2 linked regions of the Lepisosteus oculatus genome follow. The protein of the gene in region 2 purifies or fractionates together with the protein of the main gene of each other region. This does not show direct contact. Links are inferred from orthologs where the notes say so. Each region holds a gene or a part of one and is shown on either strand. Other genes may lie near its edges.

What was found.
Region 1: the proteins of sap130a (region 2) and suds3 purify together in Homo sapiens (affinity purification with western blotting; 3 studies listed by BioGRID, with this or other methods). This does not show direct contact. The link is inferred for Lepisosteus oculatus from reciprocal best matches to the Homo sapiens genes SAP130 and SUDS3.

What each region holds. Positions count from the first base shown.
Region 1 is NC_090717.1:4,406,817-4,422,547, forward strand, and holds the start of suds3 (sin3 histone deacetylase corepressor complex component SDS3), read right to left. Parts: upstream 7,035-15,731; 5' UTR 6,917-7,034; coding exon 6,805-6,916; intron 6,166-6,804; exon of another isoform or gene 5,266-6,165; coding exon of another isoform or gene 5,229-5,265; intron 3,087-5,228; coding exon 3,017-3,086; intron 2,545-3,016; coding exon 2,489-2,544; intron 973-2,488; coding exon 901-972; intron 606-900; coding exon 586-605; intron 132-585; coding exon 1-131.
Region 2 is NC_090708.1:10,116,168-10,132,010, reverse strand, and holds the start of sap130a (histone deacetylase complex subunit SAP130a), read right to left. Parts: upstream 7,520-15,843; 5' UTR 7,294-7,519; intron 6,023-7,293; 5' UTR 6,008-6,022; coding exon 5,899-6,007; intron 5,571-5,898; coding exon 5,311-5,570; intron 4,247-5,310; coding exon 4,079-4,246; intron 3,851-4,078; coding exon 3,724-3,850; intron 3,192-3,723; coding exon 3,070-3,191; intron 2,636-3,069; coding exon 2,511-2,635; intron 2,079-2,510; coding exon 1,931-2,078; intron 1,795-1,930; coding exon 1,704-1,794; intron 979-1,703; coding exon 874-978; intron 657-873; coding exon 512-656; intron 16-511; coding exon 1-15. Other genes in the region: uncharacterized protein, read left to right, coding at 8,201-8,360, 8,772-8,956, 11,782-12,354. UniProt on the Homo sapiens protein: Acts as a transcriptional repressor. May function in the assembly and/or enzymatic activity of the mSin3A corepressor complex or in mediating interactions between the complex and other regulatory complexes.

The sequences.
Region 1 (15,731 bases), on a different chromosome or scaffold from region 2:
TCATTCTCTATCATCTTTTTCTTCTCCTCCAGCTCTGCTATTAGGTTTTCCTTCAGCTCGACCTTCTTATCATCAAATTCCTTCACTGCGGCTTTCTTTTCTTTGATGTAGTTCCTTTCTACCTGCTCCGTCTGTAACAAAAAGAAAACCCAAAACACGGAATCTTTAAATTATCTGCCAGCCCCCCCCAAAAAAACATGACAAGGGCACACAGACATCCATGTGGTCCAAAGCGTATTTCGTCACCTGTCTGCAGAGGTGCGGAATTTTAAAATAAAACTGATCTATAAAGGTCCAAGTATTACACAGGACAGCTCTGGTGACAGAAAAAGCACTGCACGTCAGCCAAAGACAATAACATAAAAATATGAAGAAAAATAGAAGGAAAACACAGTAAGCAAAAAGGGTAAGGATGATCTGTTACAAAAAAAAAACATAATTGTCACCATTAATGGTTTTGTCCCCACAATGTGCGAGTAATGTTCTCATCAAGATTACATCAGTGTAATCTTGTCCTCACTTTGACAGCAATGAACACGAACACTGATCATTTTGGGAAACAAATGGATATAACATTAAAATTACCTCAAGCTGCAGGAAAAGATCTGAAAGGAAAACAGAGCGCTGTAAGAAATCTGTTTCACATAACCACTGCCAAAATAATGAAATCATACAGAATACAAGCACAGTATTTCAAAAGTTATCCTCAATGTTATGCTATAACATAACTAAACACTGTATTACAACAGGTTATGATCATCAAAAATTATTTATGAAAGATGGATGAAATGTATAGATGTGACATATTTTAAAGGATCTAGTTTTATTCTGATAATCAGGATTACAACCATCTGATTATAGGCATTCAATATGGTTTACAAATCATGGAGAATACATCACCTGCATTTCGGAGTCTCTCTTTATATTGCTGGTCAAGTTTTTTCATTCTTTTCTGATATTCTTGCAGAGTACCTGTGTGTATAACACATATGCTTTTCTTAAGAATTCCAAGGTGATTTAACAGCAAATTACCCAAAGGGTTCAAGTAGTAAAGAAGAAATTATCAGTCACTTAAAAAGCATCGGTTCAGGCACTGTGTGACACAGTCCTTTCCAGTCTGTTACTTAGCTGGGTTCCTCAAACATTTTCACTGGAGACCCAGATGAGAACAGGAAAAAAAAATGTTTTTCCACCATCAAACCACTTTCAGGTAAAGCAAAATATAAACAATATGTCAATTATTCAACTACATGAAAAACACTATTTACCCACCTTTTTAATATAAAAAAGAATGTTAGTTTCTTCCACAAAAGTGATTTCTTGTCTTTGCCGACAACTGAAAGACTGTTTTGCAGTCCACAGATGGTTACAATCAATTCCTACTTGACACTTGTTTCTTACTGATGGCTTTCTCTCAGGGTGTTAGATATGCTATGCCGATTGTTGCCTACAGGCAGCCTGTTTCCATATTTTTTGGGAAGAGCAAAATAATAATAATAATAATAATAATAATAAACTTTATTTTATATAGTGCCTTTAAAGGTGGCTTCTCAAAGCGCTTTACAGGATGACAATAATAAATAAGAAGACGACAACAATAAATAAGAAGATAATAAACATAATCCACATGTAATAACACATATGCTCTCCTATCTCTCAGTCTCATCTCTTTCCTGATGGCCACTCTCTCCCAGCCCAACTCCAGAAGACCCCAGTAATTCTCACACAGCAGGATTAAGGCGTGGGGTCAACGAGGCATTCATGGGGTTTGCTGCTGTACCCCCTTCCTCGGCCAAACCCTTCCTTAGCCCAGTGAACCCAAGGAAAAGAACACCTCCATACACAAGACATCAAGAAAAGACCCCTGACACCAGAAACAAAATGCAGAGGCAGCCATCTTGCTAGCAGCAGTAGAACTAACCAGCAGAATCTACCTCTGCTACAAAGGTAAATGTACAGTTGTTCAGGTGGGTAGCTGCATCAGCATTTGTAGGTTTCAAAGTAACAGGTAATAGGTTTATTTTTAGAAGAATGGAAACACAACGTTTTATTGACAAGAAGAAACATTTTGTTTCCATTCTACTCTTTTCAGCATGGAATAAACCTATTACTTGTTCCCACACAGGTAAATGTAGTGAGCAGCTGTATTTAAGCAAAAAAAAAAACAGCAGAACAAGGGGACATTTTCCCCTCAAAATAGCTGAGTTGAAGATACCCTTCCCAAAACACAGCCAAATCTGAGCAATCTCGTGTCCTGTTTTCGGATTTTGTTTTATAGAGACACAGAAGAAAATGCTGCTTCACTCAAATACTTTGTTTTGAATTTGCAATAAATCTGAAAGCATCGAACAGAAATAAAAAACAGATGCAATACTGCCACCTCAGATTATTCTCATCCATTTTCATCTGCCACGGAGACATTTCCTTATAGTGAGGAAAATGAATAGAGGAAGACTGCCCAATTCTGTGAAAGGGAAAGATCTCCTACCTTCTTGTAGTTGTTGCAGCTGTCGTTTTAAGGAGGCCAATTTGTCCTGGTACATTCTATAAGACAGAAATGCAAGTAAGGCGAGAGGGAGAAAGTCTCCTGAAAGTGATAAAAGATGCGGATTCTTGAAAAGAAACACTGTTATTTTAATTCTATCATTACAGCAAACTGTGCTGTGAATGCAAAGTAATACAAGGCCGCAACACCTTAAAAAACTGTTATTTTATTTCACTGAAATATAAACGAGACTGATCTTGAAGAACCCAAGTTTAAGAAAGATTATACTATTTTACATAATACCAAAAACAAAGAAAAAGTGGTTACATGGTATAACTAATGACTGACACTGGAGGGCAGTAATAATTTCTGTTTGCCTATGTAAAGCCTGACCTCTAAGAATCTACAGTTTCTGTTATTGTCTTGTCTAAAGACATTCGTCATCTTAAAATAAATGTGTTGTCTTCCAATCCATAACATAAAGCCCAGGAGCTCCAGATGTTCTGAAAAATGTTCTGCTGTAACACTCACTGTTCTTTAATTTCTACGTAGTCATCATCATCCTGCTTCGCCAGATCTGTTTCACTGGCATCTTCTGTGTCTGAAAAAAATGAACAAAAAAAAACAAACATTCAGTCTCAGGTTTATTTTGTTTTCTTGAACTGACACAACATAGGTGAATTCATGATGCTGATTAATATTTGTCATCATCAGGCCTGGTCAGCAGTGAAGGTCAAAGGCTACTACCCTATGTAGCCACCATGGAAAAGCATTGGTAGTTGTACATCTGTGACTCTGCACCATGTTGCACGTACAGTCTTGTACGACTCTGTCCAATTCTACTAATAAAACCTAGACAAGCATGGCTCTTGTTCACTGGTCTCTGATTCCTATATGCCACATGTTGGTCCAGCTTTGCACACAAAAGTTCAATGGGGTTCATGTTGGCCAGGCAGCCCATCAGCAGCACAACCGTCACATTCTCATCATACAAGAAAGCCTTCCTTACACGGGGTGCATGAAGACGTGGGCTGTGAAAAAGCCTGGAATGCTGCCGGGTCAGGATGAGCTTGCAAGAAGGGCAGCGAATAACATCCCAGGACTTCAGCAATATACTGTCAACTCACCATCAAAAAAGTGGAGGATTGTAGCAACTAGACACCCTTGCCAGGCTATCACTCCTGGGCCTCTACACCTATGGGTCTGTTATTATGCGACAATTAGCATCTTGTTCTACTCCTCTGCACCACACTTGCAGACTCCATCAGGAATAGTTCATATAACACTTTGATTCATCACTACAAAAAGCCTGGCTGCCCTGCTGGTGAGTCCATGCAAGACGATTTGGCATGAAAGATATTGTGCTCTCGGTAAACAGGGCAATACTGATCTCCATGAGATTCACTAGGTTCTCATATTTGACATGTTAAATGACATGAACACCTCTGCCCAGTCCACTCTCTCACTAATGACTTTATTGAGTGCTTATGCAAGAAAGCCAATTGAGTCCATCATGACTAGTCAGGAGGGATCAAAAAGATGCTAAAAACATTTAATCAATGCCCAACATACTTTAATTTTCTAAAAAATGACATGCATAAACAGAATGCTAAGCTTCTTTTGATGGTTGACATTTGTAAAGGAGATTAATTTTGTACAGAGGAGTCCTGAAGGCAAAACATGAGAAGCATTACAAATTGTCAGCTGTCCTACGAAACAGATGACAGTATTCCTTGTGTAGAGGATTTGAATTCCCTTCAGTATAAGCAGTTTGATCCATATCACCTCTTGTGTTAATCAGCATTTAGCTTACTTAAGATTTTCCATTTCTAAATGCCAGCTTTTTTAAAGAAATTGCATTTTACAAAATCAATAATTAGTCTCTAATGAAATCAATAAATGCACTTCAATAAAAGGCAATGTGGAAAATCTTGTTTTGCAATTAGCATGTTATTGATGAGTTAAATACTACCTCCTATGAAGTGTCATCTGTCTGTTTAAAAAGACTCAAAGGTTGACATGTCAGACCTCTAAAACACCCTGTACTGGTGGACACTGCCCACCATTAACATATAGTATTATTCATGTACTTTAATTTATAAATGTTGTATGAAAAATAACATTTATATTTTAAAATTAAATTTAACAACAGGAGTATATCTCTGGGCAAAATGGTTTGATACAATGTCCTTCAGTCAGAATTTTAATTTTTACCAACTTCAATAAAGAAGTTAAGTTTAATACAGTCATGGCCTTGTCAGAATTGCATAAACCGTTCAAAACTTTCTGCAAAAACCCTTTTCTTTAGATTTCCCATGCTTTGGGCACAATTTCTGAAATATCAAGAAAAACTGATTTAGCAAAATTGGCCTTCAAAAGACTGGAGCCTGCCTTACAACAGGCATCCTACAAATGTCCCTTTTTTTTGTTAAACATGAACAGATTTAAAGTAATTGGTGTGATAGTAATACAACTTAAACGTTTGTTTCACTGTTACTAAAAAGGTTCAAATTGCCTTTCTTTGTCATTTGGCATTTGTCTTTTTAATTTTTAACACAAATAACTAAATAACTGCTGACAATACGGAGTGCTTTCTATTGCATCTCACAAAATAGATACTGTGTGTAGTATATGCAAGTCATACTTCAAGATGCTGCACATATCTGCAGCAACACAACAAAGCCCACATTTCACAAAGCAAGCATTCTGTCCAGCTTGACACCACATTAAGAATGCCATTTACCTTCGTTTGCAATAAGCACGTGCGCGTTACCAGCCATTCAGCTGCTGTCCTCTTACAGCACAGTGGACATTCTGTACAGCAAGGTGACGTCACTTAAGAGACTGCAGAAATATGGGTTGCTTGTCACAGTTTTTTTTGCACACAAAGTAGTTTTTAACATAACATTTTCGTGGAGAGCGGCAAGGAGGACGCCGTTTGCAGCACTTTAACATTTACCGTTTCACAGTTCACAAATACAGAATTCCCCTCACACACCATTTAACGTAAACCTCAGAATCACAAGGCACCTTAGTCTCTCTGTTACTCGATTCGGAAACATCGTATCGACTCGCGGCCACTATGCAACATTACTCCAGAATATTTCCACAATCTAAACTACAGCACGAAATTTCTAGATCTACAGCTATAGTTGTTGGTGCAATCAGAAACGATTTAAGACAATTAACGATCCTCGACTTTCCCAAAGGTAACCGAGTTAAAATGTCCCCTCATTTCGGGCCCCGACGTTACAATAGCCTCGATAGTAACTCAGTCTCTAGTTTTGCTCCAGATAAAACTCAAACCAGACTTGCCTTCTATGCGTAGTTATGTAGCAAATGATTCGCTATACTATCACACCCATATCGCCCTATTTTTACCATATCGCATGCAATTCAGAAACTGAATCCAGCCGTAGTAAACTGAACGCTTACAGGACAGGTTTATGCAGTCTGGTAGAATAAAAACTAAAAGTACAGCAGGTATCTTTTGCAGTTTCTTACATTACATCCAATACATCTGTACGATAATCTATACTTAGATTTAAATGAAATACAGGCCCACTGATCGCAGTCCTTTAATACGTTGCCATGGCTTCAAAGGCGAGAGAAACGTTAAGGTCGTAAGCGAAACGAGTACAGCTTTCTCTTTTCGTGTCCTGCTTCAACACAACTGTTCGTGCACTTTAAATGACACTGCCTCCGTCCAATCCGGTAAAAGCTTCCGCTACCGCAAAACCAATTACATCCTCATTTTCAATCTCTGTCATCTGTCAATCAACTGATTGTGGGCAGTGAAGTTCTGAGTTTCCTTTCCATTCACTAAACAACAAATTACATTGGATACTTCACCTAAGTAAAATATTCCATACCCATAACATGATTTATATTTTATTTGCCTTAATCTTCCCTGATTACCCTATGAGATTGTGTTGATACTGTTTGCTCAATATAGGTACATGTTTCGCACGTCCAGTGCTTTGTGCAAAACGTCAAGAAAATGTATTTCCGGACAAAACATGCACATGAACTGAACGTGCTTTACATTTGTTTATTTCGTACGTCCCTCCCCATCTGCTTGAGGTACACATGCATCAAGGCGACCGTTCTTCCCGGTTTGATCTTCCGGAGACAACAAATTAAAAGTACGGTATATCACTAGGTTTCGACTACTTTAGCAGACACTCCTAATACAATTCCATTCAAATGTCCTGCAAGCAGAATCTACTACAAACCTCGTATGATACTGCACTGAAAACAAGGAAAACAACCCGACTGAACAGTAAAACTCCACATTTTGCAGTCGTTCGTGTCAGTACCTTCCTCTGAATCTCTCCCTCTGTAACTCCGATCGTCGTCCTCATCTACGCTGTCCAATTCTTCGTCGTCGTTGTAATAATCCACAACTGGCGATAACAACGCCGAAGTCATTTTATGTATTCAGAAGAAAATATAATTAAAAAAATCTTTACTAACGTTTCTATATCGATACACATATGCAGCTCTAAAACACAACAGCACCCGAGATGGCTAAGACCCCTCGATTTTCGAGAAGACCCATGTTATGCCTGCTATGAAATTATACATTCGTGTATCGGTGACTATTTTTTCTGAAAATATCTTAAGTTTTAGAATGAAATATGAGAATATATTTTTTTAAAATTGAAATAAATCTTATGAGGTTACATTTATTATGAGGCATACTTTCCATTTCCGCCAGGCAATGTAAAAGACAGCTTCATTAATGAGCGCTCTGTTGAAAATTATCATTATTCAGCTCTCTCTAACTGGTATTTACTTTATTTCTTACAACGAAGCGTGAAATGGTTATTTGTCTTTGAAAATATTCGACTTTGTATATTTTGCATGCCATTTAAAAACAATAATCGTTCGCGTCTGTCCTTCTTATATATACGGCGCGAACACGGTGGGTTATGGGAAATGTAGTTTTTAATTATTCGTTACAGAGCAGTGCAGCGAATAACTACATTTTCAAATTTTGCAAAACGTAGAAATAAGAAAATGTTTTCATGATTACTAGAATGAGTCGCTCCTTTTTATTAGCAATGTATCGAATTAAGATTTGCTATCTATACAATCCTATTTTTAAATCCATGTTATGGCATGGCTGTTTTTAATTATTAGGCCGTTTATGAAATATATTTGTGGCTAATAAAGCATAGTGTGCATTTTTCCCCATATCGCATAATTGCTTATTAATGTTGCAACAATGTTAAAAGCAATGCCCAAACTGTTTCCAAGTACCATTTCTTTCTCGTTGTCAACAGTAGATGGAGCCGTAATCCGTGATTTGTACCTCGTCTGAAAACCATTAGTAAAAAAAGTTTAGTAAAATCAGAGTAGGAAATGTATACAGTATCGATTTTCATAATTTAAATTCAGCTGTTCACCCTGGAGGTAAATATCTACACTTGTCGATCTGTAACGAACATTTACTGATTCTGTCAATGTGCATTTTCCTATAAGGCTGGTGCCTTTGACCTGAAACGTGTCTTATTTCGGTCTCATCTGGTTAGATTTTGCCCAGCAGTCACTTAATGTTTTCATTGCCTTACCATTACCCTTAACATACTGTACCCAATGCAGAACCCTTGTCAAAATGCTAAATTCAGATCCCTTCCACGCATTGGGATAGACAGCTCTCGAGTGACCGAGCCCTAAAGCAGCTGTTTGATATCTCACATCAGAACTTTTATGAGCAATATTATATATATATATTATTTCATCATATCTCCTTATTATTTCCTCAAACAAGTATTTTTTGACACGCTGTTCGTTTGCTATTTTAGGGTTGTGTTAGGCAGGCCAAATTGTATAGATAAGTAACTTGAGTACAAAAAATGTCGTGTTGACTTGAGTATGAAAATGCCTTTGAACGCGTGTTTCTTCAGATGAACAAAATGCAATTTCCCGTAACACGTTCCACGGGAATACCTAGAACTGAGAACTGTCCAATGTTCAATTTAAATATTAGCTGTAAAGGCCCCTTTAGTGGTGTTTCTAATTAACAAAATATGTCCAACCGCATCACCTGCCTGTTAGTACATTTTTTTAAAATCAATTATGCGATTCCTTATTTTTATTTTTTGCATCATTTCCATTTTTGGGCTAAGTATTGAAGGGCCGATAAGAAACCTTAGTACGAAGAGTTGTTGTTGTTGTTGTTGTTGTTGTTGTTTTAAATTGCCTTCTACTCAAAGGTGAAAGAGACTACACGTTTGGGTCCGAAGCAAGTCGAGCAAGTCCTATTCGGGTCAAACCTTCTGCCCTCCAGCACCGAGGGTTAAGAATTGCGCAAGAGAAATCATCGATAACCGATATTCCTCCTTCGTGTGCGAAGGTCTTGTCCGCCCGCTGATGCGCTCTGCGCTCGATTGGTGCATCCTGAACACAGAACCGCACCTCAGAGTCCAGGGCGAGAGAAAATAGAGAAGAAATATCCCAATCTGTATTTATCATGTTGCAAGACGAAATAGACTGACAACACCAAAAGTGAGTACCGCCGCTCTCTTTACCGCACTTTAACAGCACAGCTGCGAAAGACTTGCGTGACTTGGGTTTTCGAGGCGACGGAGAAACGAGGATTTTCTTCTTTTTTTAAAAAAATCTTGTTTTAACTCTTATTTCCGCTTGTGGATAGTGACTATATTGCTGCTGTCACGACGTTGCCGGGCCTGGCGAAGACGAGTCTTCATTCAGGAAGTCAAGCTGCATTTTTAAAAAAAAGAGATCGAAACTCCCAGTTGACAAAAAAAAAAACCCCGAAGGCGGACTTCATGATTTTGATCAAAGTTGGATTTTTTTTCTGGAGGAGACCTAACGCTCGACGGTCAGTAGATGAAATTATTTGGCAGCGCGTTTTTGTTTTTTGTTGTTGTTGTTTGTTCGCTTCTGCAGAAAGGAGTTAATACAAGTTTTTAAAGAGCAAGTGGTGAACGCAATGACGTGGTGTAACTTCTACACGCCGAGTTGAACTTGAACTCAGGGGGTTGAGTACAGGAACTGCTACACCTGCCCGGATCTTAGATGTGAATATCCTTTTTATTATAAGGTTCTGTTAATTTTCTGAACCTCCCGGCAAAAGGCTAAGAGGCCAAGTGGGGAAGTCTAGGAAAAGCATCCTAAATGTATACCACGTAAGTAATTTAGTTACGGTTTCGGTGTAATCATACAGATACGTGCGTACTGCCCTGTCTCGCATATTTCCTTATTATCGTGCACGCTGAAAAGAAACTAGCAGTGAACGGGTTTTATTTCTTAAAGCTGCTAATCTCTCGACTGGGTACAGCACTTGATGTGAAGTAACGTCGAGCCGTGGTAATTATGTAACTTATTTTGAAATTCGTGTCTTTGTACGTGCTTAGTACTATTCAGAACGATAAACCTGACGGTGAAGCACAGGCTGTGTTACTTCTCTGTAATTTACTACCCAACCTGCATGATTATGATTATTTTTAATTTGACGAACGTGGTGTACTCGTTGTAAGAAACGCAGTGGCTAAAGATGATAGCGAGGAATAAATAGAGGTACAGTACTTGTTTTTTCCGTCCTAGGTTCGACAGTATAACTAGGCCTAATTAGCATTTTTTTTTATTTAAAAAAAATCCTGTGTCTGTTCAACCCAGGTCTTAATACTAACCCAGCAAAAATGTACCTTTTCGACCAAGACGCTATTATTAACAAGGTGTGATATTAGTATCCAAAATAATACACAGATGAACTTCTTCAGACGACGGTCTCTTGAAACATTCAGAATGTAATAAGATTTATTAAACGCAAAACCACAATTTTGTATTTGAACGATTTCGGTAGCATACGCCTATTTACGAGCGAGTGCTGTTCTAGATAACGTATGGCGACTGACTTCATCACCTTACCTCGCACTTTTATTTATTTCTTCACGGAGATCTATCCTCTTGCCGTATCAAAAACGAGATGGCATCGCGCATTACACATTCGCTTCATTTTATTTGATTCGCAGTAGTTCAAGCCCTAAACGCGATTTTGCGTTGTTTGAGACGATGTTGCTGTTTATTGTCGGTTTTTGTTACACTCGTTTTGAGTACCGGTACAGAGTGGTTCATATAGCATCAGTATCCCTATAGGATTCATAACAGCACTATCTCTAGACAATTAAATGTGAATGACGCGTTTATAAAAAAATAGGACTTGTAGTGATACATCGATCCTGCTACAGCTCGAAATAAATTATCTTTAACGTTCAAACCAGCAATTATATTTGCTGTAATGAAAAGAAGGTTTAGCACGAAAAAAATGAAAAGCACGTTTAATGTTGTGCTTCAGGGTGGTATGTGTTGACATTTTCAGCAGTGAGTACACCTCTCCTCAAAGCTCTGTTTTTAAAGAATTGTAGAGGCATAAGGAAGTGATATCGCGTAAGAAAATAGGGAAGAGACTGTTTTTTCAGCTCTTTGGCTTCTTGGTTCTTAGAATGACTGTTCTTAAGGGGGGGGAAATGTTCTTTAAACTGTATACCATAAATTGTTTTCATGTTCCAGCAACGTGCTGGGTAATTTGTCTGTCCATGGAGCAACAATGTTACCAGACAACATGTTGAATATTGGCAATGTTTGTATGACCTAGTACGGTATTTTCAAAACATGTCTGCTTTGCACAGGAACGAGCTATTCTGTTTTCACAGATGCACGGTCTCTTTAGGAGTACAGTATTCATGACAGCATAGCAGCAATATTTAAGCACTCAGTCTTTATAAGGACTTACTTGAAATGGCTTACAATTGTTAAATTGCTACTATTTCATTTGCCCGTGGAAACGGAAATTATTCCGTTATTATTTTGTATCTTAGTTCAGAATTTAAACAAAACATACGGTACAAAGTAAATTGTAAGCATAACATGACGATTTAACCTGCTTTTTTCTACGGAGGCCCATATCCGAAATGCATTGTCTAAAGGGGTTGTCTTTTTCCATCAGTGATGTTCCTAATGCAGAGTAATTTCTTTTATCAGTCAGTGAATCTGTGGCTAATGTGTGGTTATTAAGGGACATTGCTCCTTGAACAGTCATAAATTGGAAGTTAAATGGTAACCTATTGTACTTTTAATCTCATTCTGTGTAACTTATAATGCTGTTATTTAACTATCCTAGATATGTACCTTATTAAATTATTCAAGTAAAAATAGTACTTTTACTATAATGTGCTAATGTTACAGCCTTGAGATCTTACTGTGACAGTTTTTTTTCTCCTTGGAAGTTTTTTTTTAATATGGATTCCTACATAGGAGATTGAGTGCATATTGATTAAACCCAGATTGAATAAACAGAGAGGCTTCAGTTTTAAAGCCCGGAATGACAATTAAAAGTTAGTTTTATGATTTAGACTTCATTTTTAATCGGTCTTAGATTCTGTTGTGTTTTTGAAGGGCGATTAGGTGAACAGGCAGTTCAGCTCTTTTCGCAGTCGGTTCATGGGCTCTCTGCTAAGCAACGCCAAAAGCGATTATGTGAAAATGTTGTGTTGTCAGATGTGCAGTAGAATCAGACTAGGCTGTCCAGTATCCACGAATGTGCCATAGATGCAGTAGATCTTGTCCACAACCGAGCCACAGCGGATCATTGGGCTGCAGCTTATCCTGGTTTCCTTGGCGTTAAGCAGACGAGAGAGCACGTGACTCCCTGTCCCCCTTTTACAGCACTCCAGTCCACTGCAGGGATTAGCCCTGGAAATACAGCTGGGTGGACTGGAGCACCTGCGTACAGTAGCAGTATGAAATTGAAGTACCTGAAATTTCCCCACAACTCTGTTGTCCTCCTCCCATGCATACAGTATGAGATTTAATTTTTGTAAAAAAAACATAGATAAAACAAATACCATAAATGTCCAATGTCTGTAATTCTGTTACACGTGGTTTCCTTTAAGGTAGAGCTAAGTTTTCCTCTGATACCCACGGATACATATAGATTACTTTTACCAGGCTCAGAAGCAACAAATACATGTAGATTAGTTTTACCGGGTTCTGTGTTGCAGGACAGGAAATGTAAGAGCAGTGAGAGAAAATGGATGTATTGCCGATACGCGGAAACAGAGATGTTCGTTTTTCTTAAAGGTAGCTCTTTTTAAGTATTGTGTGTAGCCTAAACTAAGATTCTCAGCGTGTGCCCCAATGTTGAAAAACCTTGAATAAGTAAACATTTTATAAATCCTATAGCATGGGATATTGCACCTTTAATAGAATCTCAGAAAGAGGCCACTGGTTAATTCATGTAGTTTATTTGGCACACCAGATCGAGTAGGTGAGTTGAATAATGACTAACGGCAGCAACTCTTTTGTTAGGAAGCAGTGCCTGGCTAGTTACCGTTTTAGTTCTAGCCCAGTCTCCAGCCACTGCAAAACAGCTTCTGCCAAGTCAGACAGGCCATAGAACAGAGCAGAGCTATAAAGCTTGGCAACAGACTTAATCACTGCACAGAAACTGCTCTGTAAAGGGCTTTGTATAATCTTGGTGTGAATGAAGTTTCAAATCTCCAGGAGAAGGATTCTCAGCGCTGGGAACAGACTTTTTTCAGAGTGCTAAGAGAAGAATCGTAGATGATTTACAAAGGATTTCTCTTCAAACAGAGTGACGTTCCACTTTTCTCCCCAGTTCCACTTTTCTCCCCAACGTGTCTGGGGAAAAAAAAAACATTTTACAGCCCTTCAGGGTAGACAAAATGTGTCGTTTTCTTTTAGGAATGTATTCTGCCGTTCGTAAATAACGACCTTTTGAAAAAGAGAATGGAAAAGAATATTTTGGAGAAATGGCATCTGAAATGTACAGTACAATTGTGAATGGGGGGTGCTGGGGGATTATTTTCTCAAATTTTAGGTGACCTGCTGTATAGTGGTGGATGCAGAATACCACTTATATTTGTGGCTACTCTGTCCACGTGTTCTTTAACCTGTTAACCTTATGCTGTGCAGGATTTGGTTTAATATTGGGTTTTTTTTTAATCTGTATACCTGAGAATAGTCTATTTGAGCCTCCACAACTGAATTAAACCATCTCCTAAAAGGAACTGTCCCACCCAAATTTCAGTATCGGGGGCATTAAAAACAAACGTTTCTTTTATGTTGTACCCCAGTTTTGCAGATGCTAAATCGGGCATTTGCTGATTTGGCATCTACATTTGTAGACTGTTAGTTCTCATTTTGTTGTAGTGACCGATTTGTGTTACTGTATGTACTACATGAGGGTTTGCTAAAATTAAAAGGCATGTGCACATATGAGCAGGAAACCCCTTCGTCTCAGCATGGTGTTTCTTTATTTAGAGTCGCGGAGTATTAGAAATATTTCTCTGACAAGTCTTTAGTTGATCTTTGATCAGTGTCGTTTATAGCATTGTGTTATCTATGAATGCTATCTAAGAGTTTCAAAGTGGGGATTGTGTAACATTTTCACATTTGACCATCCCTATACACCTTCATTTATGTCGGCTTTCTCTTTAACATTGCAGTTAATTGCAAAAGCAATGAAGTGATAGGGTGTTCAGTACATTAGGAATGACATAATTGCAATAAGAATACCCTCTTAAATGTCTACAAGAATATTATTTTGCCTTTTCTTTCTTACTGTTAAAATGCATATTGCTTACTTGAAAGATGTTTTGATGATTTTGTAAAGAAATTAACATCTACAGTCAGTATGCTGTATATTGGTGATCTTTATTACAGAGAAATTTATAAATGTGTGTCACCAGTTTAGGCAGTGTTCATAAAGCCTTACAAAATGGTAAATTAAAAGAAAAGTTACAGTAATGTGAAATCTAAAACCAAGCATCATGTGGGTTACCATAGAAAGGTTGCTGAGCAAAGTAGTCTGACATTCTGCCTGTGATCCAGCTGTTTTGAGAATTACTCATCAGCCCAACAGCAGAGGTGTGTCAGGAGAAAAAACGTAAAAACTGAGTATGGAGAAGATGTGGTCCTGCTGTTAGCTTCATGTGAGCAGTAGGAAGAGAAAACAGTTTAAATTAGCCTGCCTATTAATTTCCTATAGTAGAGTTACTAACTTGCACAGATATTCTGTAACACCATGGATCTTTAGACAAAGTTGAAAACCTGCTGGCACAGTCTTCACTGTGATGTTTTTTAAACAGATTGTGAACTTTTGTTTCACAGCTGATTTTTTTAAACAATATTGTGTTCATTTAAAAGAAGTTATCCAGACCTTAAACTCTTTATTTCTGCAAAGCTGTGTTTGTCCATGTTTCAATGCAGGAAACTCAAAACAGGGAGTGCAAAATTTAAATTTCTTAAATGAATGTGCACAATAGCCTATATTTAAAAATGACGCATTTATTTGCCAAATGACATTAATGACATTTTACAGTGAACTGAAATTAACTCACAACCCTGGATAGTATACACACCCAGTATGACCTTGCTAAGGTTGCATTTTCTTTGGGTCAAAATTCTGAAAATTATAATTTACACCTACATACAGGAATACAAATGATGATTTTTAATATCTTTTGAAAACCTCTCCACATGTAATTTAATGTATTATTAATTCAGTATATTTTTTAAACGTTCTCTAAAGTATGCTGTTTTGGTCAGTTTAATACTTTCGGGTTATGCCATTTTGTCCTCTCTGGGTACTTTAACAAGCTGAAGTGTACACATGGCTTTGCGGAGGACTGACAGGAATATAGGCACGCGAGTCTTGAAATACCATCTTAAGAACTTTTGGTTTTCATCTGACTAGTATCGCAATTTTGTAACAATCTTTATGAAAATATCAAAACTTTTAAATTTACAAAACATCCCTTGTTCAAACGCTTCCGGTGTAGCAATCGGGTAAAAGGCAGGGTCTAAAACATTGTAGAAATGGCTGCCTAGAAAAAGAAATGTTTTTAGTGGTTGCATATTGATGTGCAAACATAAATTTCTGTTAGCTTTTTGCGGATGGTATTGTAACAAAATCGCTCCAATAACACGGATCAGCAGAAAGTTGTAGTCTTCAGCTGCATTCTTCGAGTGTTGACCTCAATGGGTGTGGGCTGCAATGTAAAGAACTTAATTACGGCATCTGATCTGCTTTGGATTTTCTGGTTAAAATGCAGCTGTGAATACAAGATTCTTTTCATGCTACAGCAGCCTTCAGTTGCTTTCCTCCTTGCATTTGTCTGCCTGATTGGAGGAAAGCTGCGTATCGGTTTAATGGAATTGGCAACCTGTCTTAAGCAGCTGATTCTCGCTGCTG
Region 2 (15,843 bases):
ATTGGCACAGACTGCCTGTTGGAGGCAGAGAAAGCATATTACAATACTGGGGTGGAAAACCAATCCATATCTAACTGGTTTATCACTCACTTAAGAGCAAAGATCTCAAACAGTAAAACAAGAATAAATTGCAAAAGGCAGTTGCCTTCTTCAATTTTTTTTTTATAGCAGCTCGGACTTCTGTTTAGAAACCGCATTGTAGTATATAAGCTATTAAGGCATCCAAATAACTCCTTTGTAAATCCAAGCCAACATTTGCTGACTTTCACATCTCAGCTTGAAAGTCCAAACAGAAGGGTCGAAGCCAAACATGTCTTGTTGGTGTTAAAGCACAGTGTGACATCTTATTTCGAATTCTTCTCAAATTAAATATAAATTTGACAAAGATTCATTCTCTTCACATTTCACAGCACAAATTATAATCTTTCAGAATCTGCAAATAAAAAACATAGGTAAAGAAATACTGAACTGATATCACATAGAGACAGAGGGCGGAAACAGCAACACTCACCTGTTGTCACTCCTAGCCTCCATGGTGACTGGGTTTGGAGAAGACCTGTGCCCAGCTAAGCCTGGTAGGAGGCTTGCTCTTTCTCCAGGGTAATCAGGCTGAAGGCGTGGAGAGGTATGAGTTATGGGCTGAGGAACCACCTTCGCTGAAAACACAATTTTGAGCTGTTATTCCAACTGCATACATTTACATTTAGAAATGGTTGCCACAATACCAAGTTAGATATTCCAATTTGCCTTTCTTGCAGCACCTGATTTTTTAAAATAACAGCACGTTTAAATGAGGATTATTTTTTATTCGGAACTGTGGTTGGTTTGGAGAATATAATGGGGTTGTACAGAGGAAGGAGTAAACATTCTTACCAACAGGGATTGTGGAGGTGGTCACTGCAGTGGCATGCGATGAGTGAGAGGGCATCGTCATGGTAACTATTGTACTGGTAGTTGTTTGGGTATGGCCCACGGATCCTGAGACAGGAGATGAACAAGATCAAAAGCTCCAATATTATAAGCAGCTCCTTAATTAAACAATACCCTTGCATTTATCCACCATGTCTTGGTGGAATAAAACCATATTGATATTCACCCTGATCGCCAATAACACATAAGATATTGTTAAGGACATAAACAAAAGGAACAATACCCCTAAATTCATAAAGCTCAATACGTCAGGAAGTTGTTTAGGATGTAAAACATCTCGATGATCTTTATATTATTCCCTTTAGTTTATATAATAATACCAATTTTCACATTATTGTATTTCATACCATAATAGGAAAATGCCCTTGATGCTTTTGTTTCATTCTCAAGACTTGCCTCTGTCCCTGCTTCCTAGAATGAGACACTATTTTCTGGTATAGATCGGCTTACACGATCTACTCACTCAGCGCACTGGATAGCGAGACATTTGTAATTAAGATGCAGCAATTGCTTTCATTACTTTCAAAAGACTAATTTTCTTTAATACACAACAGAATCCTTATTTTAGTAATGTTTTCAGAAGAATCTAGATACAGAAAATGCTAATCTAAGTCCTAAGAGTTGCAATAGTAATCATATCCTGTTTGAGAAATACCTATGCTTAATTCTCAAATATTCACTAACACATCATTCTATTACTCTAGAGAGATCTGCAATATTACAGTCTCTCCAGAGAGCAGTTTGGGGCTCTTGAAGTTATTGCTGCAACCTACCAGTTGTGGTTGGCGATGCCACTGTGTTCGTGGCCAGGATTGGGGCTACTGTAGCTGCAGCAACAGGAGGCACGTTGCTATAAAGAGGTTTCTGAAAGAAGCAGAAATAACAGTGAAATGCTGATTAAAGATTATCCACTTTATAATGGACACTTGAACGGATCCTAGTAAGCCCACAATAGGCCTATGTACCAATAAAGCATCCAGATACCACTTATTTCTGATACCTGCTGAGTCATGGTGTGCAGCTGCGGCTTCTGGGTACCGATGGCCGGATTGGAGGGCAGAGTGATGCGCGTGGCACTGTCTCGAGACTGGGGCTGCCGCTGGATACTAATGGTGGCAGGAGACTGGTGAATGGTAAGAGCAGGGCGGCTACAAATCAGATAAGGAAAGGGAGAGCTAAGCCAAGTGATCAGAAAATATCAGCACCCTTGGGACAGATTTACAGAATACGCTGCATGCCTTCACACATTGGTACGGCTCTCTTGGATCAACAGCTCTGGCTAACGACTCCCAAGATGGATCAAGGTGACGAAGCCTTCTATTAATGCAATACCCTGGCCATGCGATGGTGGCCAACAGGGATCATGTCATGGCCTCCCTGGTACACATGCATGTACCATCGTCTTGAACGGCTGTGATGGTCCCTTTACAAGGCTCAAGTAGGTAACTAGATCACCAAACCTCAATGGTATTCCAGCATTGGTATGCGATATTAAAACAAGTTAACAATCAAACAGAAATAACTTTCTCCTAAATTCTTGAAATGCAAAACTGGCCAGACAGAGCTGCTGATGTCCCCACCCGTGCATCATCTCAGCCGTGTGTGTGGCCGCAGTGGTGATGACTGGGGACTGGGCCCGGGTCGCAGAGACTGGAGCCACAACAGTAGGAAGCACAGCTGTGGAGGTGGTGGCAGGGGGGCGAGACTGAAAGAGAGGGGGGAAGATCTTAGTCTAGAAAAGCTTAATGGGTTCCGATTTTTTAAGCATTAGCCACGTAACATGCAAGACCTCCCAACGACTGCATTAAACGTTTTTGCTAATGCAACATCCGGCAACAGTCAATGAGTTAAGGAGAAATATTTATCTATAAAAACTTGATTACTTTCAAGCAAAACAGAAATGCTATAAATACAGGCTAGAGTATGTGAAAATCAGCTAAAATAAAATTCAGCTTTTCAAATTCAATAAATAGAAACATAACATCTACACATTGTGTGTAGAATAAGGCATCTATAACACTCCAATGAGTTAATCTGTGAAGAGTGAACAGTTATTCCGTTAATGGTAGAAAGACACCACTAATCAAGATACAGAGACCTTACACCTTGTGTTCCAGTCACGGCAGAGAAGCTCTGTACCTGGATGGGCTGGTGGATGATGTGCTGCACAGTGGGCTGGACCGCCCCGGCGCTCGGACCAGAGGCAGGACGCAGAACCGTAGTCACTTTCGAGCTGGACATCACAGCGGCTGCTGCTGCTCCTGTTTAACGTCAAGAACCAATATACCCCCGGCTCCTTATTAAAATACGACACCCAATTCATCAAATGCTATAATGTACAGACTATTTTGTTAGGTGCTGTACTATCCTAAACTGTTATGGAAGAGAAAGAGTAAGCAGAAAGCCTCCACAGTAAAGGCGGCTCAAAATACATTACAATATCCATATCAAATAGCTCATAACCAATCATGTAAGACGGCCTCCTGACTCCTATAAACACTTATATTCTCTTACAAACCAAGGGCTATGAACTCATTCATCAGACATTTTCAACTGCTATCCAGGTAAGACAATAATTAATGCAATCATCACCTTAAAAGGTGAACTACGATGTGCTATAATTACATCCATTAATTGGAAGGGATACTTTCATTTTACAGAGAAGCATCTAAAGTGCCTGACTGTTTTAAATCCAACCATGCGATGTGCCTTTTCAATAAACACAGATACACTCAACCTTTAAACTGCCAGGAGATTAACAGGTTCCCCTTTTTAAAAAGCAGACAGGCTGACCTCTGGGTAAGTGGGAAGTAAAGGTATGAGGTGGGGCCGCAGGGGACGCTAACTGGAGTGCCGGCGTGCTGCCACGGATGATCTGCACATTAGCTGCCATTAACGGATGCAGGTTACCGGAGTGGCCCTAAGAGGGGAGAGAGGGAGAAACATCCGCAAAGGACTTAGCTCACGCATTCGCGCATCTCAAACAGAAATTTCAAAAGGCCTGCGACATGATAAAAAAAAATGCAGACGTGCAAAAGGTCCGGCAAATGATGCAAACACCAAAATACTTGAAACTGGTGTAACGTCCCAGTGAAGCACAGCAACCTTAAGGCCCTTGAGAGAAGACGGAAAGGTGCTATCCTCTCACCTGCTGCCCACTGATGGTTGCCACGGGGATAGCTGAAGTCTGAGGCATGCTGCTTTCCATAGTAACTGTGACATGACCGGGAACCTTGGCTGGAACAGTCAGGTGACCCTGGCTAGAAGCTGGTGCTGGGGCAATGGGGCGGCTAGGCATAGCTGGCTTCAGGGCAGACTGAAAAAGCACAAAGAACATATCAAGAAAGATGCTGGAGCAGAGATCACACGCCACATGCCGAGGATCAAGGGCCTCCCCAAGCAGCTCAACCACCTAAGGCTCCTGTCCAGAACAGAAAGCAAGAATGAGTCCTATAGTCCAGACAGCACTGGTGAGTGCCAATGCCATGCCATTGGCTATTTGTATCCATAACTGAGCCTCACTGGCTTAGCCAGGCAAGTTAGCTTGCAAATGGTGCCTCCCTTTGCTTGCCTGACCCACAGAAAAACATTTTTGTTTTGCAGGGCACAAGCGAGCTAGCACTATTGTCCACAAGAGAAGCTCCACTCCTCCGATTGACAGAAACTCTATACCAAGGCACCGCTGACTTGTAATTTGAGTGAATAGTTCTAAGAAGTCAAGACTAACAAGGCTGAAAGGCTTAAAAAATGTTCTTCAAACTCTTACCAACTAGAAACCAACCAAATTGGTTGAGCCAAATACCTACTCTCCCATCTTAGGATTTTAAGTCTGCATAAAGAAACCCAAATTGGGGGGGCATGAAAAGAAAAGCTTTTTTTTAAATCCTGACTTCATTTAACATCGTATGGTGATCTTAGTGATGTGTCTGCTTGATTTCCACACTCAAGCACACAATTCCTCTATTACTTTTATGCACATGGCACTCAAAACTAAGAACACCCGGAGGCATAGAGGAAAGTCAGGAATATAAATCAATACATTTGGCACCATTCTGTTTTAAATGATGTACAAGAAAAGATCAATAGCACAATTTATACGTTCAACTGTATTAAAGCCGCTCAGTAAAGATACAGCTCAGGGAGGGACAAGGATTTAGAATTAAGGAGAACTGCAAGTCAATGAAATTTTGCGGGGTCTTCATTCATTGGGTTACGTTAAAAAAATGTAACTATTAAAAATTAACAACTGGATTAAACCTCAGAACAACTACAAAAAAATGAAAAAATGGCTATGGTCCTAGAGGTAAAAGAAACCCATGCCACACCTCCGGCGGCGGAGTCTATCGGCCGATTCGACGCCATGAGCTCGCCGTGCCCTACCTTCATGGACGCCTCGGTGAAAGACAGCGGCAAGGCCTGGGCGAGGTGCGGCGGCGGCGCCGAGACGGTAGCCGGAGGGCCGGCCGGCAGCGGGAGGTGCTGAGGCAGAGTCAGGGGCTGCCCGTGGGGCTGGACCTGCGGGTAGGGCCTGACCACCACCGTCTCCTGCTTCTCGTCGCGGAAGGCCAGGGCCCCCCCGCCGCTGGGCGGGTGGTCGCGTGGAGTGTGCTCCGGCTCCCGGCAGCCTTCCTCGCCGCCCCCTGCGAAGCAAACGCGCAGCTCGGAGGGTGAGAAAACGACGACGGCCCTGCGGCCCTTTTCCACGTCACAGGTCTGAGAGCTAGACGAGACACTTGGGTCCTTCTATGACTTATTAGTGCAGGATGGCTTTGGTTACAAGACACTCACAAAAAATCTGCTCCACAAGATTATAATAATAAACTTTATTTTATATAGCGCCTTTAAAGGTGGCTTCTCAAAGCGCTTATTAAAAATTACTCAAAGCGCTTCTCAAAGATTCCTCTCTACGCAGATTCACTGAACCTTACAGTAGGCTTAATTATTTCAAGCTTTCTTTTTTTTTTTTACCTGTGCCAGTCTGGTTTCCTGGAGCCAGGCTGGAGTTTCCCCCTGTCATCTGTGCTTGTCCCAGGCTAGAGGCTGGAACTCCTGCCCTTGGAAACTGCTGGGAGCTCATCTTTTGACGAAGGTCCTGTAAATGCGGAGAAGAGTCTTACTTTCAATCGAAACAACTGGATAGGAGATGAAAAAAAAAAGATGAAAAGAATGGACTTTTCTCCGTAGCCGGCTGGGATCATCTCTTGGTGGGTGTTAAATGAGATTTTCCCCACTGCCAAAATCGCAAACAGACATCCTTCGATGGAGGAATCCTATTTGCTTTAACAACGTTAGAATTCTCAAATTCTGAGAAACCAAGACCATATCTTATACGTTATACAAGATCTTAAACGTTCATCGAGAATTGATACGACTCCCACGAGGACTGCAATGAAAAACGAGACAAAAAAACCCCACATATCACTGGACTCGAAATAGTCTATTATATCAAGGTGCGACTCCTTTACTTCAATCGCCTGCTCCATGAATGACGTTATCGGCACTTCCCACCGTTGAAATAAGGCTGGATTTTCATTCATTCACGCGATTACCGAAATTAACAGTTGATAAACCATCGGTTTATGAACTTCGATTAAATATCCAAAGCGTCGCTGCTTCTAGGTAAGATGATCACAGTTGCATTTTGAAAAGCTATATTTACTTATTCGTATGATCAACGAAATGTTGTTTAAGAAAATCGAGGTATTAAACGATTCCTCAATACCGGGCATGCATTTTTAGGGGAATTGTAAGGCTTACTGGCTACGCGCAAGTGCTTTGTTTTCGCTTGGATGACGTTATGCAGTTATTCTAAATGCTTACAATCATACAGAGATCATCATACCCTTCATGATACTAGAAAGTGGTCTCCGAGGACCAACGCATTCACGATATGGTGAAGGCAATACGAGTTATGTACGGTCTACACTCTTAGGAGAAAGAGCAGTACCAGACCAGTTAGCCACCAACAACACACCACTTTAATTCACTCCGGTATCGGGATAAACGTGATTCGCTTCCTGTGGGGTCATATCTGCATCGCAAACGTCCTTAAGCAAACCCAAAACAAGTAATTACAGAATCATCCGCGCACATATTCTTTTGTTTTCCTCCCGTACGTGTCATGAACCTAGAAAAAAAAATCGGAGATGCTCGGCTTTCTAGGATAATATGCGGAAAAAAATGACGCGTGGACAACAGCCGAAAAAATAGCAATTTGACCAAGTAGACATCGTAGGAAACATCATGCATCCCGCTTTTCTCCGACCTGTATTTTCAAACACGCTAAATTAAAATAGATGCTAAGATACTGCTATAATGCACTAGAAAAGTCATTTGCGGACAAAAATGAAAAGAGTCCCTTACCGTACAGATTTTCCCAAATTTTCCTTCTTCTATGAAAATGATACACTTAAGTCAAATTCCAAAACAGAATATCCACTTCGCTAAATAATTTAGACATCTACCCGACGACGTCGCGGAATTCTCTTTCTACAGCTATTCGTGTACTGAAAACAAATACCTAAAAGTCTAAACTCATTTCTATAGCCGTGCTTAAACAGGTTCAAGCTTCTCCATCCGTCTCTGCAACAACACCGGAAGGGGAGGCTCTAACCTTGGAGGGCGCTCTGGCCGCCTGGCCAATCACAAGAGAGAAGGCAAAGCGCCTGGCCAATTACAGACGGCCCGCTGAGGAGGACCGGGAGACGAATAAGCGCCAATAGGCACACAGATCCTTCATCTCTAACCAATCGCATCGCATGAAAATGTACTGCTGCTTAAATGGCCAATAGTAGCAGATATAGTCGCCCCTTATTCACCAACAGAAAGCCCACCCATTCCTTAACGCTCAGAGTTTAAGTGGAGAGTTGTCTACTTGTGTGAATTTTTAATGGATTCTCTGTTTACAGTCGACAGGGCGTGTTCTATCCATTGCTAGAGTATCGGGAAAAAAAGGTTTTGACGTGCAATAAAACAAAAACACGGCTGTGAAGATTTTTATTTATTTTTTTTAGCGGGGTTGGGTTTTCTTTTTGTCAAAAGGGGTTTCTGATGTCCACTGAGAGGAAACAAAAGGTCACTACAAACCGGAAAACATTTGTTGTGCAACACAGAAACAAGTTGCGCAACAAAGACCGTGCAGACGTGAAACGCTGCAGCCCCGAATCCATCTGATAATAAAAGAGGTGGCCCGATAGGCTGCACATCCCTGATCAGGGTTAGAAGCCGAACCTTTTTTTCGAATACAGAATCACAATATAGAATTGTTGCCATGGAGTGGAAAGATTTCTGGACGCGTAAGAAACTGGAGGAGCTCTGTGACCTTTGGGAAGCAAAGCCCTCTCTGTACAACCCCAAAGTCCGTGAATATCACGACAGATGGTGTAGAAAACACGATTCCGAGGAAATTGCCCAGCAATTGGGTACCACTGGTAAGTGTAAAAAAAAACCTTGTACCTAGTCCAAAGGTGGCGCCATATAACTTAATTCAGAATTTACGACGGTTGAAGAGGAAATCCCATTTTAACTGGAAGTACTGTTCAGTACTTTCCCGACGAACACATTCAACAAGAGATGTTCCGTTGTCTTGTTTTGTCATTCGCCAAAATTGTGAGAGGCTTTCAGGCAGTCTTGGAATATAGATATACGTAGCTATGTTTGCGTTAAATAACCTGTACAAACTGTTTTTACCTAAGGATATAGGAAAATGGAACGTGCAGTTACATTAATTACATTATGTTCCCTCAAATTTTGTTTCCTGGGTTCCAGATCACGGTTGTCCAGTTGCTTAAAAGTAAGCATAAAAAAAAGACAAGATTTAACAATTATCTATTATTTTCCAGGAGAAGAGGTACTCAAAAAAATAAAAAATCTGAAAACTCAGTATGCCCGGGAGAAACGAAAGGCAAGCACTGCTCAGAACGGGTGTGGCGAAGCCTTTCTCTCTAAGTGGTATTTGCTTCCACTATTGAAATTTCTGGATGGTTTAATAGCATCCAACCCACGGGCTGCGAAACCCAATTTAAAGGTAAGTGCAAAATAGGAACAGCAGCCTGCACATGCCAGCACTGGGCAAATACACCCTTTCCACTGAACCCAGATGCCCATCTCTTTTCTCTCCTACCAGCTTTTCCTTCAGAATGTAAGTCACAGTAAAGTAATTCTCCACTTTTTAAAAAAACATCTAAGGGCAATGCTTTTCTGCATTTTTCTAGTCCAGGAATTAGGATTGGGAAGTAGGTGTAATTTAATGCTTTAGTTCTGAGGCTGAAAGTTTACTGAAATCTTTTGGAAATGTTTCTTTTCTCTACCCTTCTTGATTACAGATATACAGTAGTGTTTGCACTGATTTTTTCTTAATAGGTTGGGAAATCACAACAGAAATGAGTGGAAATTAGTGTTAGATCCCAGCACTTTCAAAAGCACAAGCTGAATTCCAAAACACCAGTACTAGTAGTAAATACCAGAAATGGCAAACCATGATCCATAAGAGCCACAATCCAGCACGTTTCATGCAGTGCACCAGTGTTTCCTAACCCAGGAACTCCAGTGCGTGCTGGTTTTCACTGCTGCCAAGGTATTAATTGCAGCCTAATTGATTCCAGGTTTCTGTTTGAGGAACATTTCTAAATTTGCTTTTTGTTCTGGGATATATATGCAGTTTGTATTTAGTACCCTGTAAAAATGTCTAGATCTCTGAACAGTCCTCATACATGTGTGTTGCCTCTAAAGCAGAAAAAAATGCTCTTTGAGGGCCTGTCTGATACAGTGTCATTCTGATAGTGTTATTTCCACCTTTGTTTCTTCATCATCAGTTGATTGGCTAGTAATTCAGCTAGCTGGGTCAGAAATAATGGCCAGCAAGCTGAGGCCAGCAAGTTGGGTATTTTGGACACTCAGGACTGATCAAAGAAACAATTGAAATAAAAGTCTAAACAAGCAAGCCGATCAATTAGCACTAGTGATGTAGAGCTCGGCTGCTGGAATGGAAAAGCCGCTAATAAGTCCACCAACAGGACCATTACAGCATTGATTTATACAGATTTGTAAATAGTGTTTCAATTAGATGTACTTTATTGGTAAATTGGAGTGTTCGGTGAAGGTTAGTGGAAGCAGAATGCACAAGAGTGTTAGTTCTCTGTGTGGGAACTTAATACAATTAACAAAATAAATTCATTGATGTTATAGAAGAATTTTACCAATTGCAAATTAAGCATGAAATTGTGGAGTTTGCGAATGCACTGTAAGTTGCTATGATGTCGCCAACTCACAAGCGAATTGCGACGTGATGCGGCCCTTCCTGCTCACTAGTCTCTGTAATGACCAATGAACTGCGATGTACAAGCGAACGAGCACAGGTTGTGCAGCAGACATTTCACTGCTAGAGTGATCTGCATGTAGAGTTGACAAGTAAGTAGCACCTGTTGGCAAAACAGTCTAAAAATGGACAGCAATATTTCTATTGGGTTAAAAGAGATGCATTCAGAAGCCCACTTGTTTATCATGTAATAGGCCCTCATCGGGTCACCGGACGTTTTGTTGCATTGTTCTGAATCCTACATCGCGGCACTACGCACACCTGGAAATGTCGGCGTATTTTGTGGTGTAAGTTGGGGGTTTTACAAGCTGGCGTGTACATTTTACTTTTATTGTGGTTTGAAATTCAGTCATCAATGCTGAATCTTTCTAACCCACGAAATATAAAAATGGCATTGCTGTTCCCCTTTAATTCCCTGGAACCCCGGCAAACTCAGCCATGCTCTCCAATCTACAGCCAGTCTTGCCTTTGGAAGGAATCTGTCCCATCCCTATTCTGGGACCCTTGTCACACTCAGCTGGGCTCCCCCTTCTACTGCCAGCCTTCCCTTCATTGGAAGATACAAGTTCCCAGTTTCTTTCAAGACCTACTGGCATGCTTCACCCACAGGCGCCCAGTTTCCAACAATAAACCCTATAGACTACTACTCTACAGAGATTCTGGAAAATTTCCAATTAATCTAAGAATATAGAACACACTATAGAAAAACACCCTGCTAAATTCTCCATATTTCTTAACTACATCCACCCATAACAAGACCCTTACACATCTTCGTTAGATCTTTCTAACTTCTCAAACCCAAACTGGTGTTAGGATTGCTGACTCACTGCTGATGTTCAAGAACAGGAGATTAATAAATGCACTATGAAATGTGGGTGCCACTAACATGCTCTTAGTCCCTGAATTGCATGAGCTTAAATGCAGCACTTCTGCCCTCTACACCTGACTGCTGCTGCTCCTGAGGAGTATCCAGTTATGTACAGGGCCGATCAGCTGATCCCTTTTCTGCCTGTGGAATTCCTTTTTCCAAAGGCGGCAAATGAGTCGGGCAAGCAGGTGTGTCCGGTATACTTCCAAGAAGCAAGAGGCTTTTTAAGTGAGCTTCTGCTTGCTCTGTCACAGTCACAAACACAGACACGCACATAGTCACACCAGGGCCAGTTTTCCCAGAAGTCAGGTTACCTACCAGTATGTTTATGGACTGTGGGAGGGAAAACCCATGCAGATAGCATCCCTGTTTACGTTGGAACAAGTAAAGGTTTACGCCTTGCTGAAAAGAAAAGAGACAGAATGTTTCGACTGTGCAGCCTTCTTCAGGTGTGGAAGAAGGCCCCACAGCCGAAACATTGTGTTTCCTTTCTTCTCTTTTCAGCGTGCAATAAACCTTTACTTGTTCCTTCGCAGCCTGGGCATGCCGACACAGCTCCCTACTTGAACTGCCTGTTTACATGTTCCCAAAGCCGAGATTTCCATTCTGCACAAGCCCTTGAGCCTGCTGAGCCTGAACAGGTGCCCTGTTTCCATATATTTGGCAGACTCCCGAGAACAGTGCCCGTCAGACCGTCGAGGACGTAAGCGCAGGAGAACTGACCGAAGATGAGAACGACGTGGGCGCGGAGGAGGACAGCAGAGAAGGGAACCCTCTGCCGCGCTTAACGAAGCGCGCAGCAGGCGGTCACGTCGCTGCGAGAGGGACAAACAAACGGAAACGAAAGGCTAATGAAGCAGCTCTCTTTGCCAGAGCCGCTTCGTATATACAGACAATCTCGGACAATTTTGCTAAGGGAAGGCTAGCCTCCCAGGAGGATGCCTTTGACATCTTTGGCAAACACATAGCCTCAGAACTCAGGCTGATGGAAGATGCTCAAATGCAAAAAACGGCACGGTTGCGTATCCAGCAGGTCTTGGTTGACGTCCAGCTGGGGTCAGCCCAGCCGCCGCCTCCTATCCCTGTGCCACATCACCCTCTCTGCGGTCCGGTCATCGCCAGCTGCAGCCCAGCGCCATCGTTTTTCCATGTTATCGCTCCGGATTCTTCTAAAACCAACACCCACGCCCAGAGTGAAAGCAATGCAGTATCGTATATCAAAACTTCACCTTCTCCGTAGGGACGAGCACACATCCTCATCAATTCCTCTCTTCCGTGAGACCAGAGTGGAGGGTCAGGATCTTTGGATAGTTGATTGGGATCATTCGGTCTGAGGGGGACACAGCTGTTTTGTGGTAGTAGCTTAAGTCTTCCGCTCATCGTTGGAGAACGTTTCGTCCGTTCCAGCATCGCACTGAGCTGGAGTCTTAACTCGGCAGACGGGCACAAGGCAGGATGCATCCTTGATGGGACTGAAACATGCAGACTCCACACAGAAGGTGCCTCAAGCCGCCAGAGCTGTGAGGCAATATCACACTGACTGCTACATCCCCCTGTCTTCCAATATTGCAGTTTGTATTTATTAAAAAAGGAGGCATGGTTCTTCTATGAACCAAACGTATGCATCCACAGCAAAACCGTGTCAGTTTTGTTTTTTGTGATTGACCTTTTTTTTGCAATCAGAACAATCAATTAACAAATATACAAACAATAACACCCCCCAGGAACAAAATCCCCCCCCCTTCCTTAATACAGCTTTGACTGGATGGCCAGTCACAAGAATATTGATAAACCAACTCTGTAACTAGAGGGTGGTAGCAGGTCCATCAGTGCTATTTATATTTTCTACAGTTGCCTTCCAGACTCACAACCATGTGGAATTAAAGGTGCAAAGGTGAAGATAAAACACCTAATTATATTTATTTTTAGTTTAACCCATTATCCCATGAATTTCACAGGATAAGACTGCTGAAAGCAACAGTCATGTGTTTGGGATGCCGTGCTCTACAGGAAACGTGGCTGGAGCACTGCAAGAAAACAACTGCAAGAGCAAATGTTTTTTTTTGCAAATTAAATGTCAAATATTTGCCTCTTTCTTATATGTTTGTCATAACTTATGGCAAAAGCTGTGTGTCGCCCTTATATTAAGTCAAAGTGTTTGTGTAGGTTGAGTTATTGAAGAAAGTCTGTTCAGTCTTACGCCATGAACGTCCATCTGAAAACATAAGGGGACCTTGTTCAAAACTTCGGCACTTAAATCCTTTCTGCTTTCTAGGGGGTCTGAAGTGCCCAGGTAGTTTGAATAAGGCCCTATATGTCAAAGACATCTGAAAAGACAAGAAATGCTGAATTATTTTAGAAATCAAGTGTTTTTGTCATGTAAATGTTCATTGAGAGCAAGAAGTGCAAATATTTTTTTATCAACCTTTTCCAAAACTTGAGGGATATTTAATCAAATATCTACCTGATTTCTTTCCCATGTATGGTATGGAAGGTGATTTTGTTTAGTACAGTTGACATAACAATTATCTGAAGTCATAAGTGCATTTCATGTAGGATACTGAATAATTAACTTATCTAAGATTGTTTCATAACCTTCTGTTAATTCTGATAAAAGGATTGGAGATTAAATTGTTGAAAAGTTTTTTTTTTACTTCAATAAACTTTCACATTCCTACTCTTAGTTTGAATGGAAATTTGTCATTTTAACAGAATTCGTTTTCCCAAAATGTTTAAACAAAGGGTTTAAACAGTTTCCTTTTTTTCCATTATGCCATGATACCATATTTCGATTATCTTCTGAAAACTGAGTACAGTTTTCGTGAATTTGTTTGGCAAATGCACCTTCTGAACCCAGGCTTTAGACACTCACTTATAGTTGCCACTAGATGGCGGTCTGTAGCAAACTGACAAAAAGCATTTCACCAACTCCCTTAATTCCTAGTGTTTTATGTAATATTCAACAACATATAATATTGATTTCAAGAAATTACTTGGGCCTTTTTAAAAATTGCTCAAATTGTACTTTTAAACCATTAATTGTGTTAGCTTTTATTGGATTGATTTTCAATTATAAACAGGTTAGTCAAACATTAGGATGGAATTTCACACAAAATCTGCATAGCCACTACGAACTGCACAGAAAGAATTGAGCTTCTGCCAAAACTTGCTCTGTACCAGTTTTGAAACACTTTGTCATCTCAAATGAAAGCTTTCGTTGCTGAAACAAGTTTCAGACTTGGAATTTAAAAGCTAAATTTCGTAGAAATGTGCAGTATTCGTGGTATGTAAGCATCTGTCAAAGCAAAAAATGCAGATGTTGGCATGGATCCTTATACTTCTTCAACCAAGGTATTTGTTTGTAAAGAATTGTATTAGTGTGATTTTTTTATTATTGAGAGAAATAAACTGTCACAACAATCTCTATTTTGTCGACCAGCCATGTATTTGTTCATCTTACTTGTGGATGGCGCTATGCAAATCCAATCCAAACATGTCATAAGGAAAAAGCAGGGATGTTAAACAGTGATCCTCACATCAGTAAGTATTGAACTGCCTTGATTAAACATGCCTAATGTAACACATAAAGGTGTGCCTTAACAAAGAAATGCATATTTTCACATACTGTATGTTAATATGCATAACCTCAGTTGGTTATCATTTTATTTTGTATTTTTTGGAATGTTTTGTGAGACAACGTTTGCCACAATTAATTATTATTGACAATTATTATCCTGTACTTGAGATGTAAACAATGTTTTATTAACTTTCACTCAAGCTTAATATTAAAATGTCAATCAGAATATAATTTACCATTTTATTTGTAACTTCTTGCTTTATCATTTAAAAGTATGTCAGTGTTTTGACTACATACTGTAGTATATCCTGGAGACTGGACCTTTACAATGCATCTTTTGAAGAGATGTATGTGAAGAAGTAGCTAGAATATTTTATTTTTTAATTTTCTTATTCACTTTTGTGCACGTTGTGACACTTTTGACCAGACATTTTTAATGACGAGTCAGGATCTTGGTTTTACGTCTCATCCGAAGGACAGCACCTTTTTACAGTATAGTGTCCCCGTCACTATACTGGGGCATTAGGGTGAGTGCCCCCTACTGGACCCAATAACACCACTTCCAGCAGAAACCTTAGTTTTTGAGCCAGGTATTGACCTGGTTCACACCTTCTGAGCTTCAGTGGGTTGCCATTTGTGAGTTGCAGGGTGATATGGCTGCTGGCTATAAATATAGCTATAGCCAATCAGTCTCAGGCTATAGCCAATCAGCTTCACAGCACGTCACTGGGAGGAAACCAGAGCACCTGAAGAAAACTCACACCTTTAAGTTAAACAAGGGGAGAACATATAAAACTCACAATGAAGGAACACCCCACCTAAGATCAAATTTAGGACTCTAGAATTGTGAAGCACTTACCTAACTGCTAAACTGTCATTTTTTTATATAATGACTTATACAGTACAATTTTAAATACAATTTCCAGAACAACTAAATGCTAGGCTATTTCATGCTCTAAAATTTGTCAGATGGGTTGTAAAATAACTTTGTGACTGGCACTACTTCATATTTCATGCCGAGTGTCCCAGGTCACAGACTCCTACAGAAGCCATTTCTTTTACCAGCATAGGGAAAATGCAGTTTAAACTAAGTAATTAATTATAGTATGTAAAACTTTCCAGTACATTCCAAAACACTGGTGTTAACATTCA